2 linked regions of the Rhinolophus ferrumequinum genome follow. The protein of the gene in region 1 purifies or fractionates together with the protein of each later gene. This does not show direct contact. Links are inferred from orthologs where the notes say so. Each region holds a gene or a part of one and is shown on either strand. Other genes may lie near its edges. The genes, in order: KCNA5 and KCNAB2.

Region 1 (7,945 bases):
AGGGGTCTGGGGTGGGGGGGTGCGGGGAGGTTGTGGGGGCTGAACCCCCTCTGCCTTTCAGCTCCATCCGCACTCCATGCTGAGTCTAATATCATCAGACAACATGTTGCAGGGGTGTCCAAGCCATCAACAGCCCGAGACAAACAGAATTCACTGCTCCATCTATGAGGCACAGGGAGGGCCCAAGAAAAAGATGCTGATGATCAAATTGTTAGTGTTCCAAGTTTTCTACCCCAGTCAAGGTGGCATTTGCTCTGACTCCAAAACCAGAAACAGCAAGTGACAGACTATTTTTTTTTCAATTTCAAAAAATACAACAGCTGTAGAAAAACTAACACTTGCCTCAACCAAGTAACATTTTATTTCTTGGGGATAAAAATAAAGGAATGAATTATCAGAAGTCTTCCTCCAACATCATTAAAATGTTTTTCAAAGAAAGTTACAAAAATTGTTTAAGGCGCACAGAAAAAACTCAGACTTGCCTTTCTTCCAAAACATTCCCTGCCCTAGATGCAAAGCACCTATACCACATCCCAGAAAAGAGAGAGTCTTACAGACACAGGAACCAGAACAGCTGGGTCTCTGGCTAAAATATTAAGTATCACAGAAAAACATCACAGTAACTTTCTCTTCCATAAATACCACACAAGTCTTCAAAATATCTCCAAAATATCTCCATCTGATGTATAGTACAAAAATCCACTCACCAGCCATAAAAATATTTTCCCCTATACACAAAATATAATCATATGTAAAGCAAATTTGGAACACATGGATGGGGGTGGTTACAAAAATCTCTTGGGATGTAGGCTATTTAAAGTCATTTTTGTTTGGGTTATTCCTTTGCTGGGTATAGGAAACTGGCTACAAATACATCCCTCTCATAGCGCTCACCATTTCAACAGCTCCTGCGTCATGGAATGTGGTATTTTTTTAAAAATAGGCAACTCTTGGTGTCATGGAAAGAAGAGGAAAAATGGGGGGATCCAGGGAGAGCGGGAGGGAGGGAAAGAGTGAAAGGAAGAGGGACATGCTTAGGTTATAGAGTAGGTTTGAAATACTCTGTGGTATGAAGTATATACCCAGGCTCAGGAGGCTTCTGCTGTCCCCACCCCACTGCCACCAGTCTGCCTGGATCCCCCCTCATAAATCTGTTTCCCGGCTGGTGTCCAGGCAAAGGGCATACAAGGACCTGCGCAAGTCCACATTGCTCTTGGCCTTGAGGTTACACTTCTCTAGGGGGCAGCTGCCCCTTCGGGCTCCCTCTGCGTTCTCCAGGGCACCCCCAGCCTTGCAGAAGGAGCCCTTGCTCCAGCTGGCCTTCCGCTGGCCTCTGCTGTCCAGCGCTGGCCCCTGGCTCTGGCTGCCCTGCTCCTCCTTGAGGGTTGCCTGCTCCTCGTGGTCCGTCTCCCGGTGGTAGAAGTAGTTGAAGTTGGAGACAATGACGGGCACCGGCAGGGCGATGGTGAGGACCCCAGCGATGGCACACAGTGAGCCCACGATCTTGCCCCCTACAGTGACCGGCCTCATGTCCCCATAGCCCACTGTGGTCATGGTGACTACTGCCCACCAGAAGGCATCTGGGATGCTGGAGAAGTGGGTCTCCTGGTTGTCCGCCTCTGCGAAGTAGACAGCGCTGGAGAAGAGGATGACTCCGATGAAGAGGAAGAAGATGAGCAGGCCCAGCTCCCGCATGGAGGCCTGCAACGTCTTGCCCAGGATCTGCAGCCCCTTCGAGTGGCGGGAGAGCTTGAAGATGCGGAACACCCGGACCAGGCGGATCACGCGGAGGATGGCCAGGGACATGGCCTGCTGCCCATTCTGGCCACCGCCGCCTCCGCCCCCCGGCTGCTGCTCTGCCAGCTCGGTGCCCAGGGTGATGAAGTAGGGGAAGATGGCCACCACATCGATGATATTCATAATGTTCCGAGAGAACTCTGCCTTGCTGGGGCAGGCAAAGAAACGCACAAGCAGCTCGAAGGTGAACCAGATGACACACGTGGTCTCCACAATGAAGAAGGGGTCAGCCAGGGTCCTAGGCAGCAGAGGTGCCACCGTTGGGCCAGAGGGAGGCGCCACAGCCCCGCTGCCGTTGGCCCCCGGGGCGGGCCAGGAAGGCTGGTGGGGTGCTGGGGGATGGCGGAGCAGCTCGCGTTCATCCCTGAACTCAGGCAAAGTCTCCAAACAGAAGGTGATGATAGAAATGAGAATGACCAAGACCGAAACGATGGCGATGGCTCGTGCGGACCCCGAGCTCTCCGGGTATTCAAAGATAAGCCACATCTGGCGCTGGAATTCATTGCGGGGCAGTGGCTTCTCGTCTTCTTTAATGAAACCCTCATCCTCCCGGAAGCGCTCCATGGCCTCGTCCCCCAGCTGGTAGAAACGGATCTCATCTGCGAAAACGTCCAGGGAGACATTGACGGGCCTCCGCAGCCGGCCCCCGGACTGGTAGTAGTAGAGGATGCCGTCGAAGCTGGGCCGGTTGCGGTCAAAGAAGTACTCGTTCCTCAGGGGGTCAAAGTAGCGCAGGCGCTTGGCCGGGTCCCCTAGGAGGGTGTTGGGGAACTGCGCCAGGGTGCCCAGCTGCGTCTCGAAGCGCAGCCCGGAAATGTTGATGAGGACGCGCTGGTGGTGAAGGGCCCCTGCCCTCAGCACCTGGTCCTCCGCCGTGCCCAGGGCGGGGTCGCCTTCTCCCTCCTGGTCTCCCGGAGGCAGCTGTCTGGAAGGCGGCAGCTCCTGGGGTAGCGATGGCAAAAGCCGCCCTCCCGGGTCCGCGCCCCTCTGTGCGCTGCGCCCCCTCGGCTCCGGTTCTTTGGGTGCATCGCTGTGCCCAACTGTCGGGGGGCACTGGAGCTCTCCCCCTGTGGCCTGCCCACAGCCTGCCCGGGCCTCACCTCCTCCTCTGACGGTCATGGCCCCGCCGTTCTCCAGGGGCACCAGGGCGATCTCCATGGCCCGAGGGCTGGGAGCATGCTGTGCCTCGGTCGACACGCTCCCCCCCCGACCCCGCTCACACCCAGAGGGCGCCTGGCGCGGGGCTCCTCTCCCGCCGTCGGCGGGGCGCACAGTGGAGCAGGTTGGGGTTGCTGGAGCAATCGCCTCGCTGGGTCCTGACGTCAAGAAACCGCTGCCCTGCTCTCTGCCTTTCTCTCTGTTCTGGCAGCCCGTTACCAAGCAGCCAAAAGCCTCCTTCCAGCAGTTGCAACCTTCAGCTGCCCCTCTCAAGCAGCGCGGCAGCGCTTGGCCTCCACCCTGCGCGCTTCCCCGCCTACCCCCCTCCCCTCTTCCTCCTCCTGCGTCCCCCTCACGCCTCCCCTCCTGGTTGTCAGAGACAGCGGGTGCCTCTCTGGAGGGCATAGCTGGGGCCCCAGGCAGGGGAGGGAGAGGGGCTGAGAAGGACGCAGCCCAGCACGGTGGGAGGGAGTGGGGAGGAAGGAGGAACAGGTTGTACCGAGCGCTGAAACTCCTAGGGCAACCAGATGAGAATAGTTCTGGATTTCAGTTCACCTGGGAACCCGCTGAACGCAGAGTGGACTCAAGGGGAAATGAATTGTCTTGGTTTGAACGGATGAGGCTTTGAGCTGAGTCAAAGAGAAGAGACAACAGTCATTTTTATATTTCTCCCGCGGAGGAATAATGGTTCGCTATTCTTTGGGAAGAATTACACAGGGGAAGGGGAGTGGCGGAGCTATGGGCTGTGAAAGACAGATGATAGATAGATAGATAGATAGATAGATAGATAGATAGATAGATAGATAGATAGATAGATAGATAGATAATAGATAGATAGATAGATAGATAGATAGATAGATAGATAGATAGATAGATAGATAGACAGATAGATCTCCAGACCAATGGAGAAGCATCTCTCTTCTCACCTTCCTACAAACCCACCGAAAGGTAACCGGCTGAAACCTTGCAGCGCCCCTGCCCTTACCCTGAGAAAAGCCCTCATTCCCAGTCCAGACAGCCGTGGTCAGCAAGACAGACCCAGCGCTGCAGGAGTCTGGACATTCGCTGCCTGGTTTCATATCCTTGCAAACGCGCAGACACACAATCCCTCTGCCCTCTCCACAAATCCATTTGCAAAAACCTTACCAGGCAAGGGGAGGAGGAATAAAGAGATCGTGATGAGAGCTGTTTCAGCCTGGTGAAGGGAGCTAGCAACTGCCTGGAGATCTGTGTAACGGGTTGGGGTAGGGGTAGTATGAGAGGGAGCCAGGGAGGTTGTGGAATCTCCAGAGCTGGAGAGCTCCCAGGACTACAATAATAACCAATACTTAACTTTGCTTTTATGATGCACCAGGCCCATTCTCAGCACTATACAAATATTCCTACAGCAACCTATTTTGTAAGTACTATTATTCTTAATTTATACATGAGGAAAATGAGACAGAAAGACTGACAACTTGCCCTAGGCCATCCAGGTAGAAAGTGGTGAAGCTGGAATTCAAACCCAAGCAAGCAGAGCTTGGGCCCTTGCTCCCTCCACTCTACTCCTCTGCAGAAACGTGTAACCTCCTTTCCAGATACAAGCACTCTCTCCCCTCAACATAGAGCTTTAGTTCCCTCCTACAGGAGGCAGAATGGCTAAGTCCTGGCTTAGCACACCAGGCTATGGGCCCTGCCTTGCCCCTGCAGGCTTTGAGTGGGCATCTATAGCCAAGGGAAATATCTTTCAAGGCAGGTCTGGCAGGTCCCGACACAGCCTCCAGATATTTGCCGGTTTTAAATGACCATAAAGTCACTGAATTTTTGAATGTCTGATTACTTTTGTTCCTGTATGTTGTTTGGTGTTTATATATGTGGATATTACAGCCCCTTGTCTGTGACCTACACATAGGGGATGTTTTGGAAACTTGGTACCAGGTACACAAGTATTTGTTGAAATAGCAGGGTGTGGACATACAATCTCATGTCAGGGTTGGACAATTATATGTGCACATGACTTTTTAAAGTGTACATGAGGGTGGATGTAAATTTGGCATGGGTAAAAGCTCTCGTTGTGTGTGACTTTGTGCACGCAGTTGGCTGTCCTTGCAGACATGTGTGAGTGAAAATCAGTATGTGGAGGCATCACTGGTTAACCACAGGGCCTTGCCCTCCCCTCCCCAGACCTCTGCAATTCCCACTATCTCTTCTGGGTTTTCACTTTCTCTGGCTCTGAGCTTGCCAATCAGGATCCGGTCTGCCCCTGGGAAGCCTGGGGCTTACTGAGCTTGCACAGGGTGAGCTCAGAGACCTGGGACCACTGTATCTTGTTTACTAACTCATGCATCTTGTAAAGACAGGGTTACCATATTGGTTTGCGTGGACTTTCCCTGCACTCCCTAAGGGAAAATGTTCTCTGGACCTTGTCTTCCAGGGGCCCTTGGGGAGAGTGTTCCCTGAAGAATGAGTGTAACATAAACAGTCCTGGAAAAGCACATAAGTCAGGCTTCCTTTAATGTGGTATTTTCTTAAATCTGCTTTCCATACATTTACTAGCTTTCATAGATTTCTTGCAAAATTATCTTCATATGTTACATGGGACAGCCATGGAGGTATACTGCTAGGATCTCCTTTAAAGAAAAGAACTTAGTTTTTAGCTTCAAGGAGTGCAGTTAGCTGACAGCCTACAGCTGTTAGCATCTCTGGTTCTGCTTTGGCTTTCACGCAGAGGCCACAGTCGTCCTGGGCAGCCCTCTGCCAATGACTGAGCTTGCAGGGTGACAAGGACTGGGCCACTTCTATCCAAGGCAGACACTGCTACTGTGCAATCTTTGCACTGGATCTCCCCACTGGATTTGCCAAGTCTTTGTATGACATATACTGCAGGCTGAAACTCTCCCTATCCAACCCTTCTTCCCCTCTTTCCTTTCACAGGTGTCAGACCAGCATCATGGTCAGAAGGCTTCTCCCAATGAGTGCTGCAGGTTTCTTTCTCTCTCTTTTATTACCTCCCAATAAAACTCTTGCATGCCTAACTCCATCTCCTTATCCTCTTGGGAGAGGACACAGCTGATGCATCATAGGACTGAACCTGCTTTCTTCTCCATCCATCTAATCCTAGGGGATAAGCTGTTCTAGAGCAGTGCTCGATGAGCACCGTCACCTGAGGATCTAGTTCCAAGGTGGCATCTGACTCGGGGTGGGGCTTAGACTGCGTTTCAAACAGCTGCCCCGAGTCGCCCATGCTCCTGTCCGAAGACCACACTGAGCGTCAGCCTCCTCTCAGACAAACCCTAAACCATGTCTCAGAAGGAACTATTCGCAGCACCTAGATTATGTCCCCCAGAATGAGATATACATAGGAGAACAAATGGGAGGTATTCTCTCAATGCCCAGACTGGTCCTAGCAGATTGCAGGAAGACTTGTGAGGTATGCAGAATAAAGAGAAAAGAATATTATCAGCGTAAGGCATTGAAAGAAAGGAGAGCTGGGCTGGAAGAGAGAGGAAAGGGAGAAGAGGAAGAGGAGAAAAACTTCTAAATGCCACCTGTATCAATCCATTCAAAAATATTTATTGAGTACCTACTATATGCAAGGCATTGTTACAGGTTCTGGGAATATATTGATGACCGAGACAGATGCAGTTCCTCTGTGGAGCTACATCCCTGGGAAGGCAAAAGACACTGACTGAGCATCTAATTTTACACTGGTTGTTTAATTACAATTTTAAGGGGTATCAGCTAGAATACAGGGTCCTGTGAGAATAGTGGAGAGCCTGACCCCTCCGTAGGACCTATGTAGGGAAGCTTTCTGAGGTGATGATGGAAAAACAATTCCAGGTGGAAGAGTATGTCCCAAGGCTCTAGGGAGGAAGGGACAGGGCTGGTGTGAGGACCTGAAAGTTACTGTAGTTGACACTGAGGGCTGGGGAAGAGTTCGGGGAGATTGGGCTAAAGAGGTGGAGGGAACGCCAGACCATGAAGAGCTTGCTAGGTCAGGTTTCATGATCTCCCCCAGCAAAATGTAACAACACACCCTCAGATACTTTGCTTGTGTCTCTATAAAGCAAATGTGGCAATTTGCTTCTTTTTTAAAAAATCTCTCCATTACTCATTTTAGCCTCTTCTCTCCCTCCACTCCCACTGGAATGTAACTTTATCTCTATGTGTAGTATGTATCTATCCTGTCTATTGATCTCACCCACAAACAGTATCATACCATTTATATATCTATTGACTGGTAGATAGATATGTAGATAGGCAGACAGATAGATGATGGAAAACAGAGCAAGACAGAGATAGCTTGAAATCAAGCGTTACGCATCATACTTTCCTCATCTCTGATTTGCCTTTAAACACCAAATTGGTACCATGTCCATATTGTGAATTTCAATATGTATGTGTTGAAAGAAATTAAACTAAGAGAAAGGAATTCATCTGTGGAACAAAGAGGGAAGTGAAACCCAGGGATTTCATCTCAGAAATCTTCTTTCAAATCATTGGAAGATTTCTGAGATGAGCTAAATACTCAAACTGGCTGTGGAGATGGGACTTAACCAGAAATTTTTAACACTCGTTTGGATGGCCGTATAGGGAAAGTGGTGAATTAAATCTGTTTTGGCTGTTTATTCAGGTTATATATTATTACATTATCTATTACTACTCAAACAGCCTTAACTTTGTAAATTCAGTTGGAAACTAACTTTGTGGATTAAAAACAATTTAATATTTTGAACTGTGTAATTTATTTCCTAAATTGAGATAGTGTTTGAGACCTAAAGTTACTGTAGCTTTGTTTATTATATAAGAATAAGCCAAAAAACATGGAATCTTTTGTATTTTCATCTAGAGCAAGGAAAAGCTTCCCCAGTTGGATTAAATTTAAAAGGACAGGAGGAGGCAAAAATAAGATTCTGTTCTAATTATGCCACCAGTCTTTCTTGTCAAACATCAATTTTGCTACTGCACGTTGGGGTTGGGGTTGGGGTTGGGGCGTTTACAGACGTGGGAA
Region 2 (7,655 bases), on another chromosome or scaffold:
CTAGTCAACCCACTGACATATAAGCGAGAAATGAATGCTCCTTGCTGTACAGCACTGAGTTTTGGGGGCTGTTTGTTATGTGGCGTTCTGCGTAACAGCTGATGGATACCGGGTCTTAGCTCCCTTACTGTCTGTCACATCCTGCCTGACGGGGGGCACGCCTGGAAAACCTTTGCTCTGTTATAGGAGAGGCTCCACACTGCTGACTGAACCATCTGAGAGCCATGTCAGCGCCTGGGTGACAAGGATGCCCCGCTGGGAGTGGCACCCTGGATGCTGGACAAAGATCCTACCCCCTTAGAGGTCATCATCAGGGGCCCCACAAGAGACATAAGTGTGAAGCAACCACACTGGAGACCAAAGGCAGGACATCCAGAGCCTGTGGCATTGCACGAGGAGCTGAGAGGCAGAGAGGGACGTGGGAATGCACTTCTCCAACAGAACTCGTCCTCAGGGCAAGAAGGCCTGGTGGAGACCGGATTCTTATCCAGAGGGGCCCTAAAGGGGTGGACAAGACATTGGATCCGTGGCGTTCCAAGGGCCAGTGAGGGTGTGGAACACAGTCTCACTTCCACTCGGTTACACCCCACAACTTCCTCGGCCCCTCTCCCTGGCCATGCCCTCTCAGCTGGCCGGTCTGTGCCTGGACTTTTCTGCCTTTGTCTCACCTCATTCCTTTCCTTCTGGGAGTGAGGTGGGCTCGGGATACGTGAGGACGCAGTTCAAGTGCACGTTTGGTTTCACTGGTCAGATCCTGCTGGGATGAGTGTCACACATTTGCAGTGACATGTTATGTACCACTGCAGTGATGACCATTTTATCCAACGAACGCATTCGCAAGCCCACATTCAGATCTATTTCAGGAAAGACCTTACTGAGCAAAAATTTGAGTAGAATGAAAGACTTGGTCATCTCTCTCTCGCCCTCTGTAAGGAGTGGGACACTGAAATGGTGGCAAAATGAGCCTGAGGACCCAGGCCCACGGTCACGTCGGAGGTGCCGGTAACTGCCCCCGGCCCCATCAGTGGTGAGCGTGCGCAACGCCGGAGAGCGAGACCTGCCAGGCCTGAATGTCAAGATGCACAAGAGACACCAGGTCCCTGCCCCCGAGAGCCACGCCGAGGTCCCCACAGAGTCCCAAGGCGGGCGGAGCTCACCTGCAAGTTCCACACCCTGACAGTTTGCTGATAGGAAGAAAATGTCAAAGTAAACTCCTAGATAGAGTTAGAGACTTTCCGGGAAGCATGTGTCCTCGTGGGGTACCCCCTACCGTACAGGTTAGGAAGAGGCCGCCTAGAGGGAGGAAGGGACAGCCCGAGAGGACGCGGCTGACTGACCTGTCTGTTCCCTGGATACCAAGTCGTCTCACAGGGACACAACCTTTCACCAAGCAGGGGCAGGCATCAGAAAGACGCTAGCACGTCCCCCCCCCCCCCCACCGACCGCATCCAGGTCACATTGGAGCCGCAACCCCCAGGTGAGGCTGGCCTTGGGTGACCCTGACAGCGCTGCAGGTTACACACACATCACTTCAAATCCAAGGAAACGGGGAGAACGGATGGGCCACAGTGTCTTTGACTCTGAGACCCCAAGAGGCACAAACCGCTGCCTGAGGCGGGAGGCTCAAAGGTAGAGCCTGCGAGAGTGAAGCAGGTGTCACAAGTCCCTTTGCTCCAATCAAAGCAAATTCTAGAAGATCAGCACAATGAACCCAACTTCACGGTTTTTCCATCAGGACATTACAGATGCCTCATGGGTGGGTGCCCAGAGAAAACCGGAGCCTGGACTTCGTCGGGGGGCTTTTGCTCCTGAGAAACCAGCAGCACACCCAACCTGGGCACACAGCCCTCCCACCCACTCCCCTGCCTTTCGCTTGTGGATTTAGGGGAATGGAGGGCTCGTTACCTGTAAAACTGGAGCTGTCTTTTGGGACTCCCATACCGAGTACTGCGACAGCAACGGAGGAGAGAGAAAAGAAGGGAGAGAAGAAAGAGAGTCCACAATTGGCATTAACCACAGGGAGGTGCCAGCCAGAACCACCAGCGACACCCCTCAGCCCCAGCCCCACCCCGCTCTGCTCAGGGCTGGCGGGGAGGATGCACGCTGGGTACCAAGTGCTCGGCAGAAGCGCCACCCAGTGGCGCAAGGAGGTAGACGCCCATTCTGTGGGGACAGCAGAATGGGAACTGAAGACAGGAGGGAAACCCTGGGGGACAATCTGTTTGGATTTTAATGAAATATGCTTGAGAACAACAGTTGAAAACCCTCAAACCAAGAAGCGCCTGTCATCCCACTCACTGGCAAATCTTCACGTGACTGTGCGTGTTAGGACCTGGATGAAGTGGGGACACCCCTTTTCCCTGTGGTTTCCATGGATACTCGCTGAGGCTCAGGCCCTGACAATTATCTAGAAAGGTCCAATCGCTCAAGCACTGATGGGCCCCCAGGGTTCCACCTGGGCCCCAGCTGTCGGTGACTGCCAGCTGGGCTCTGTGCTCCGGTCGGGGTGCCAGCAGTTCTCACCCAGTGGCTCCTGCCTGTTTGCCTGGGTCCAACCGGGAGGCAAGCAGAAAGACAGAGCTGGCCTCCTCAAGGAGCAGGTCCAGGGTGCCTGGTGAGCACCTGGCCACCCCGCCCTCCCCGGCATTTGAAGATGGGCAGACACGGTGCCCCACAGGCCTGCAAGGCTTTGAGCCTCACTCAGGCAGTTGGGGGAGCTGAGGGCTAACCTTTCCCCCCTTCTTCTGAAGCCTACTCTCCTCCGGCCACAGGGGGTCCGGAGGAGCCTCAAAGTGTAAGATGAGAGAAACAGAGCCAGGAGGGACTCCCCCCCCCCACTGTTGGGCTTCCGTGGAATTAGACTCCCACCTCTCCTGAATTATTCCACTCCTGAATTATTCCAGGAGAGGTGGGAGTCTAATCCTGGCTCCAACCCACCCAGAAATTCCTGGGTTTTTCTTCCCCATTTTGGTCTTAAAGGCTTCCATCCCTTTCCTCAGAGAAAACGCACCCCCGCTGCATCTCACTGTCCTCTGGGTCCAGGGGAAGAAACACAGTGGCCTCGGGGATCCCTCCCAGAGGGAGGGTGACTGTGGGGGGCCTGGGGCTGGGGGTCACCTGTAGATCATGCCGGGGGAGCCCGTCTGCCGCAGGGAGAGCCGAGCCGGGGAGCCAGTGGTCGATTCTGGATACATGGAGCCGGCCTCACTCGTCCCGACCTGCTCTCTTCTTCACAGAGGGAAGATTCTGGAAGAAAAGCAAGAGGGGAGGTGGTTAAGAAAGACCAGTCAGGTTTGGCCAGGAGGCTCTGTGAGGGTGAAGGCCCGGTTTGCGGGGCATCAGCATGTCCCTCATCGCACAGACAGACCGACCATGGGGGCTCGGATGAGGCTGACGGTCAGGTCCAAGGACTGTGAAGGATTTCCATCTCTCCATCCCCCACCACGCTCCACAGGGGTCCTTCTCCTGCACCCCCACCCCCATGGCTGCTTTTCTGAGGCTGTCAGAGCAACTTTTTGTTGCCCAAACTCTGCAGAAATGGTCCGAGAGGGCGTCTGTGGACTTGGTACTCTGGACTGTCTTCCCCATCCCAGGTGGTGGCGTCACTGTCACCCAGGGCCATCCTTGCTGCCTCACCTTCCCTGACCCCTACTCTAACGATGGTGCCACTGCTGAGCTTTAAGGAAGCAGCTTTTCAGACACCCCGTGACCCCAGCTCCTGGGACCCAACACCCTCTCCCCCTGAGCATACACTAGACCTAGTGACTGGCTTCGAACACCAGAATGTGGCACAGGTGATGGGATGTCACTTCTGTGATTAGGCACTTCCGTGCCTTCTGTCTTGCTAGCAGACTCTCTTAATTGCTGGCTCTTGATGAAGCTTCTTGATGAAGCAAGTTGCCATGTTGGAGAGGCAAGGGACTGACGGTGGCCTCTGGCCAACAGCCACAAGAAGGAATTCTTCACACCACCACGGGAGCTTGGAGGGGATCCCTCCCCAGTGGAACCTTCCAGTAAGAGCCCAGCCCCACCAAAACCTTGATCGCTGCCTTGTGAGGCCAGAGGCACCACCCAGGAAAGCTGTGCCCCAACTTCTGACCCACAGAAGAAACTGAGGTAATAAAAGTTGTTTTAAGTTCGAGGTAATATTTCGGCGGCAACAGATCATGCTCAGTTCCTGATCGCGTCCCCAGCCGGTTCTTCCCACGCTGTTCCCAGCTCAGCAAAAAATTCATCACTATTCATCTTTAGAAACACCCAGAATCCCAAGCTTCTCACGGTGATCCCCATAAGCTCCACTGTGGTCTGGGCCACCACCTTCTCTCTCGCAGGTCCCCTTCCCTCCAGTCACACACACACACACACAGCTGTGTGATGTGTCTCCTGGCTTCCACCTTTACCCTTCACCATCTACTTTACAGGAGCCAGAGTGAACCTTCTAGAACATAAATCAGATGATGTCATTACTTTGCTCGAAACCTTCCGATGGTTTCCCAATCTACCCGGAGTGAAAGCCCAAATCTCAACAGTGGCCTTGTGCCCCACCCCACCTGCCCATGATGCGTGGGACGTCATCCCCTGCCTCCCCCTTGCTCACCCCACTCCCACACACTGGCTCCTTGGGGGTCCCACAAACCCGCAGACACTCCAACCTCAGAGCTTTTTTTTTTTTTTTTTTTTTTTTTTAAAGAAGGGCGCAGCTCACGGTGGCCCATGCGGGGATTGAACCAGCAACTTTGGTGCTACCATCACCATGCTCTAACCAACTGAGCTAACCTGCCACCCGCAACCTCAGGGCTTTTGCACCTGCTTTTTCCACCTGAGCTCTTTGACCACTGAGATCCATCTGAGGGCCCCTGCCCCCAACTTTCCTCTTTATACAAAGGTGGCCTTCTCCTGGAGTCTCTCCCAGACACCTTATCTGAAACTGCAAACCCTTTCTCCCACACACCCCTCTAGTCCCTTCCCTGCAGAATTTTTCTCCCTAGCACTTGTCACCGTCTAATATACCTCATACTTCACTTACTGTCTCATTTGTTATCGTGTTTCCCTCCTAAACACTCAAATACTTGTTGAATGAGGGAGTGAATGAATGACTCTGAGCTTAGCCTGCTGAAGGCTCATCCAGAGAAAGCACAGGGGAAGGGAGGGGTGTGGGGACTCCGCCTCCACCAGGGACAAGGGCAGTCTTCTCTGGAGGGTGCAACGCCCTCTCTGTCCAGGGAGGGTGCTCAGGGCAACTACAGGTGCAGGGACAACTGGTACCACCTGCTGCACTTAGCAAGGCGTCCCTGGGGAGGCCACCTGGCCTACTCCTCCCCCCTACCTAGTTTGGACTCTGAAGGTCAGGCTTCCTCTGAACCAGCAGCCAGCTTCTGGCCCAGAGCCCACCTCTGGGCTCTGCAGCTGTCACCGTCCAATCAGGAGCAACGGCATCCATCCAGTGGCCAATCACGGAGGAGATGACATGCTAGCGGGATGCTGCCAATGTCAGGCATTGGGAGGGAGGCGGGCAGAGGGGTGCACCCGCAGCCTCTCGCAGCTTCCGGAGAGACAGCTGACTTGGGGTCCGAAGCCTGGGTCCCTCCGTCTCCTGCACTTGTACCTGGTCTGTGTGTGACCTTGAGCAAACACCCCAATTTATACTTGGAGAACTGAAGCAGGCAGCACTCAGAAAGCCTGCCCATACCTTCTCCCCGAGCAAAGAGAAGTAAGACATGAAAATGCTGAGCCCAGGAGAAAGCTGTCGAGTAAGTCCCAGCTGTCATCCTTTACAAGGTGAGCTGATGGTGACACCCCAAAGGTCAGGAGGCTCCATCTGTGGGCACTGTCTTTCTTCTCCCCAACTTACTGTTTTGAAAAACTTTCACACATCAGAAAAGTTGTAACAAATCAGAACAGCAACAGACACCCCTATATTCTGCATCCTATTCACCAACGGTCTACATTTTGCCTCAGTTGCATGCATTCTCTCTCCCATCCCGTTCTTTCTCTCCTCTGTCCTTCCCTCCCTCCATCTCCGTCTCTACACACACTCACACTCTTTCACACATTCATACTTACACACACACACATGCATTTTTTCTGGAGCCATTGAAAGTTGCAATCTCAGGGCACCCCCCGTCCACACTGCAGCATGCCTCTTCTGAGAATAAGAGCTCTGTCCTTCATCACGCCAGGGCACACCGAAGGTGCTTATTCAATGTCACCTGATATATAGCCTATATTCACATTTCCCCTATTCCAAACATATATTTTATAGATTTAAAATAACCCAGGGTCCACTCAAGGTTCACAAACGGCATTGGTTATTTCCCCCACTTTCCTCTCATCTAGCTCCCCACCATGTTTTTGTTTTTGTTTTTCAGGACACATTTTGAAAAGCTCAGGCCATTTGTCTTGCACACTGCCCCACATTTCGGACTTGTCTGCTGCCTCACGATTTGATTTGGCTAAGCCTTTTGGGTGAGGCTGTGTCTTCTGTGGGCACCCAGCCAGGAGGCACGTGCATATCCCCGTGGGCAGAGGCAGGCTCCAGTCACTTGCTTGAGGTGGCTTCCGCCTTGACATGGCACGTTTCCTCCTTCAAATCAACCGGTAATTTCGGGGAGGGTTCTTGGCTTTGTGGATGTATCCAGTTCCCCTGCACCCTGTCACTGTGGGTGATTTCTCAGCTTTAGTTTTTCCTGAAAGGCCAGTATGCTGCCAGTTAGAGCTCTGAGAGCAGAGGATGGGAAAGGACAGGAAGTGAGTTAAACTGAAAGGAAACACAAAAACGGATTCCTGGAGGTCTCAGACTGCAGCCCTGGCAAGACCTCACTGTTTAGAGTCTCCACGGACTGACTGGAGAGTTACACGGGGGCCTTCAGTGTAACTCTGGGTCCTGGGATTGGCCATGGGACGCTGGGTGGCAGCCTTCGGGAAAACAGGACCCATGGCATGATTTTAACATGGACAAGCACATGTATACACACATAGGGGAAAGCACCAGAATAAACCAGGTGATCCATGCAGAAAGTCCTGGTTCACCACGTACCAAGGCGAGGCACCCTTGACCAGACACAAGAGCCCTCTCTCTCCTTGAGCCTTAGTTTCCTCATCTGCAAAATGGGGCCTGGCCTAGATGACCCTCAATTTCTCTGTTGGAAATAAAGATAAATGACTATATTACTCTGGGGGAAATATGCCCGGGGTGTCCCACTCACAGCTACTAGTGTGTTCCTCTCCCTCTTCCTCCCTTCTTCCTTCCCTCTCTTCTCTTCCCTCCTTCTTTCCCTCCTTCTCCTTCCTCTCTCTTTCCCTTTCTCTTCCTCCCTCTCTCTCGCCCTCTGACTCTGCTTCCTTCCCCCCTCCCTCCTTCCTTCCCTCTCTTTCCTGCTTTTTTCCTCTCTCTTCCTCTCCCTCTCTCCCTCTCCACCCCCCACCCCACCAGAGGCACTTGCACGAGATGGGAAGAATTCTGTGTATTCAGGACAGTGAAGAAAATGAACATGCGCCGTAAATGAAAAACCACAAAGGTCAGACCTGAGCCTGCGAGTCCAGGATGGAGACACAAAATAAGAGAAGACACCTTCTCATTGGGCCTGGTTGGGGACAGTTCTGGTCACCCAGATGTTCCTGGGTGACTGAGCTGGCATCTGATTTGCATAGGAGGG

Evidence for each region.
Region 2: the proteins of KCNA5 (region 1) and KCNAB2 purify together in Homo sapiens (co-immunoprecipitation; 3 studies listed by BioGRID and IntAct, counting the BioPlex papers as one, with this or other methods). This does not show direct contact. The link is inferred for Rhinolophus ferrumequinum from reciprocal best matches to the Homo sapiens genes KCNA5 and KCNAB2.

The regions. Positions count from the first base shown.
Region 1 is NC_046293.1:22,534,708-22,542,652, reverse strand, and holds KCNA5 (potassium voltage-gated channel subfamily A member 5), read right to left. Parts: upstream 3,223-7,945; 5' UTR 2,956-3,222; coding exon 1,144-2,955; 3' UTR 410-1,143; downstream 1-409. UniProt on the Homo sapiens protein: Voltage-gated potassium channel that mediates transmembrane potassium transport in excitable membranes. Forms tetrameric potassium-selective channels through which potassium ions pass in accordance with their electrochemical gradient.
Region 2 is NC_046292.1:3,615,462-3,623,116, reverse strand, and holds the start of KCNAB2 (voltage-gated potassium channel subunit beta-2), read right to left. Parts: upstream 3,118-7,655; intron 1,948-3,117; coding exon of another isoform or gene 1,940-1,947; coding exon 1,906-1,939; intron 1-1,905.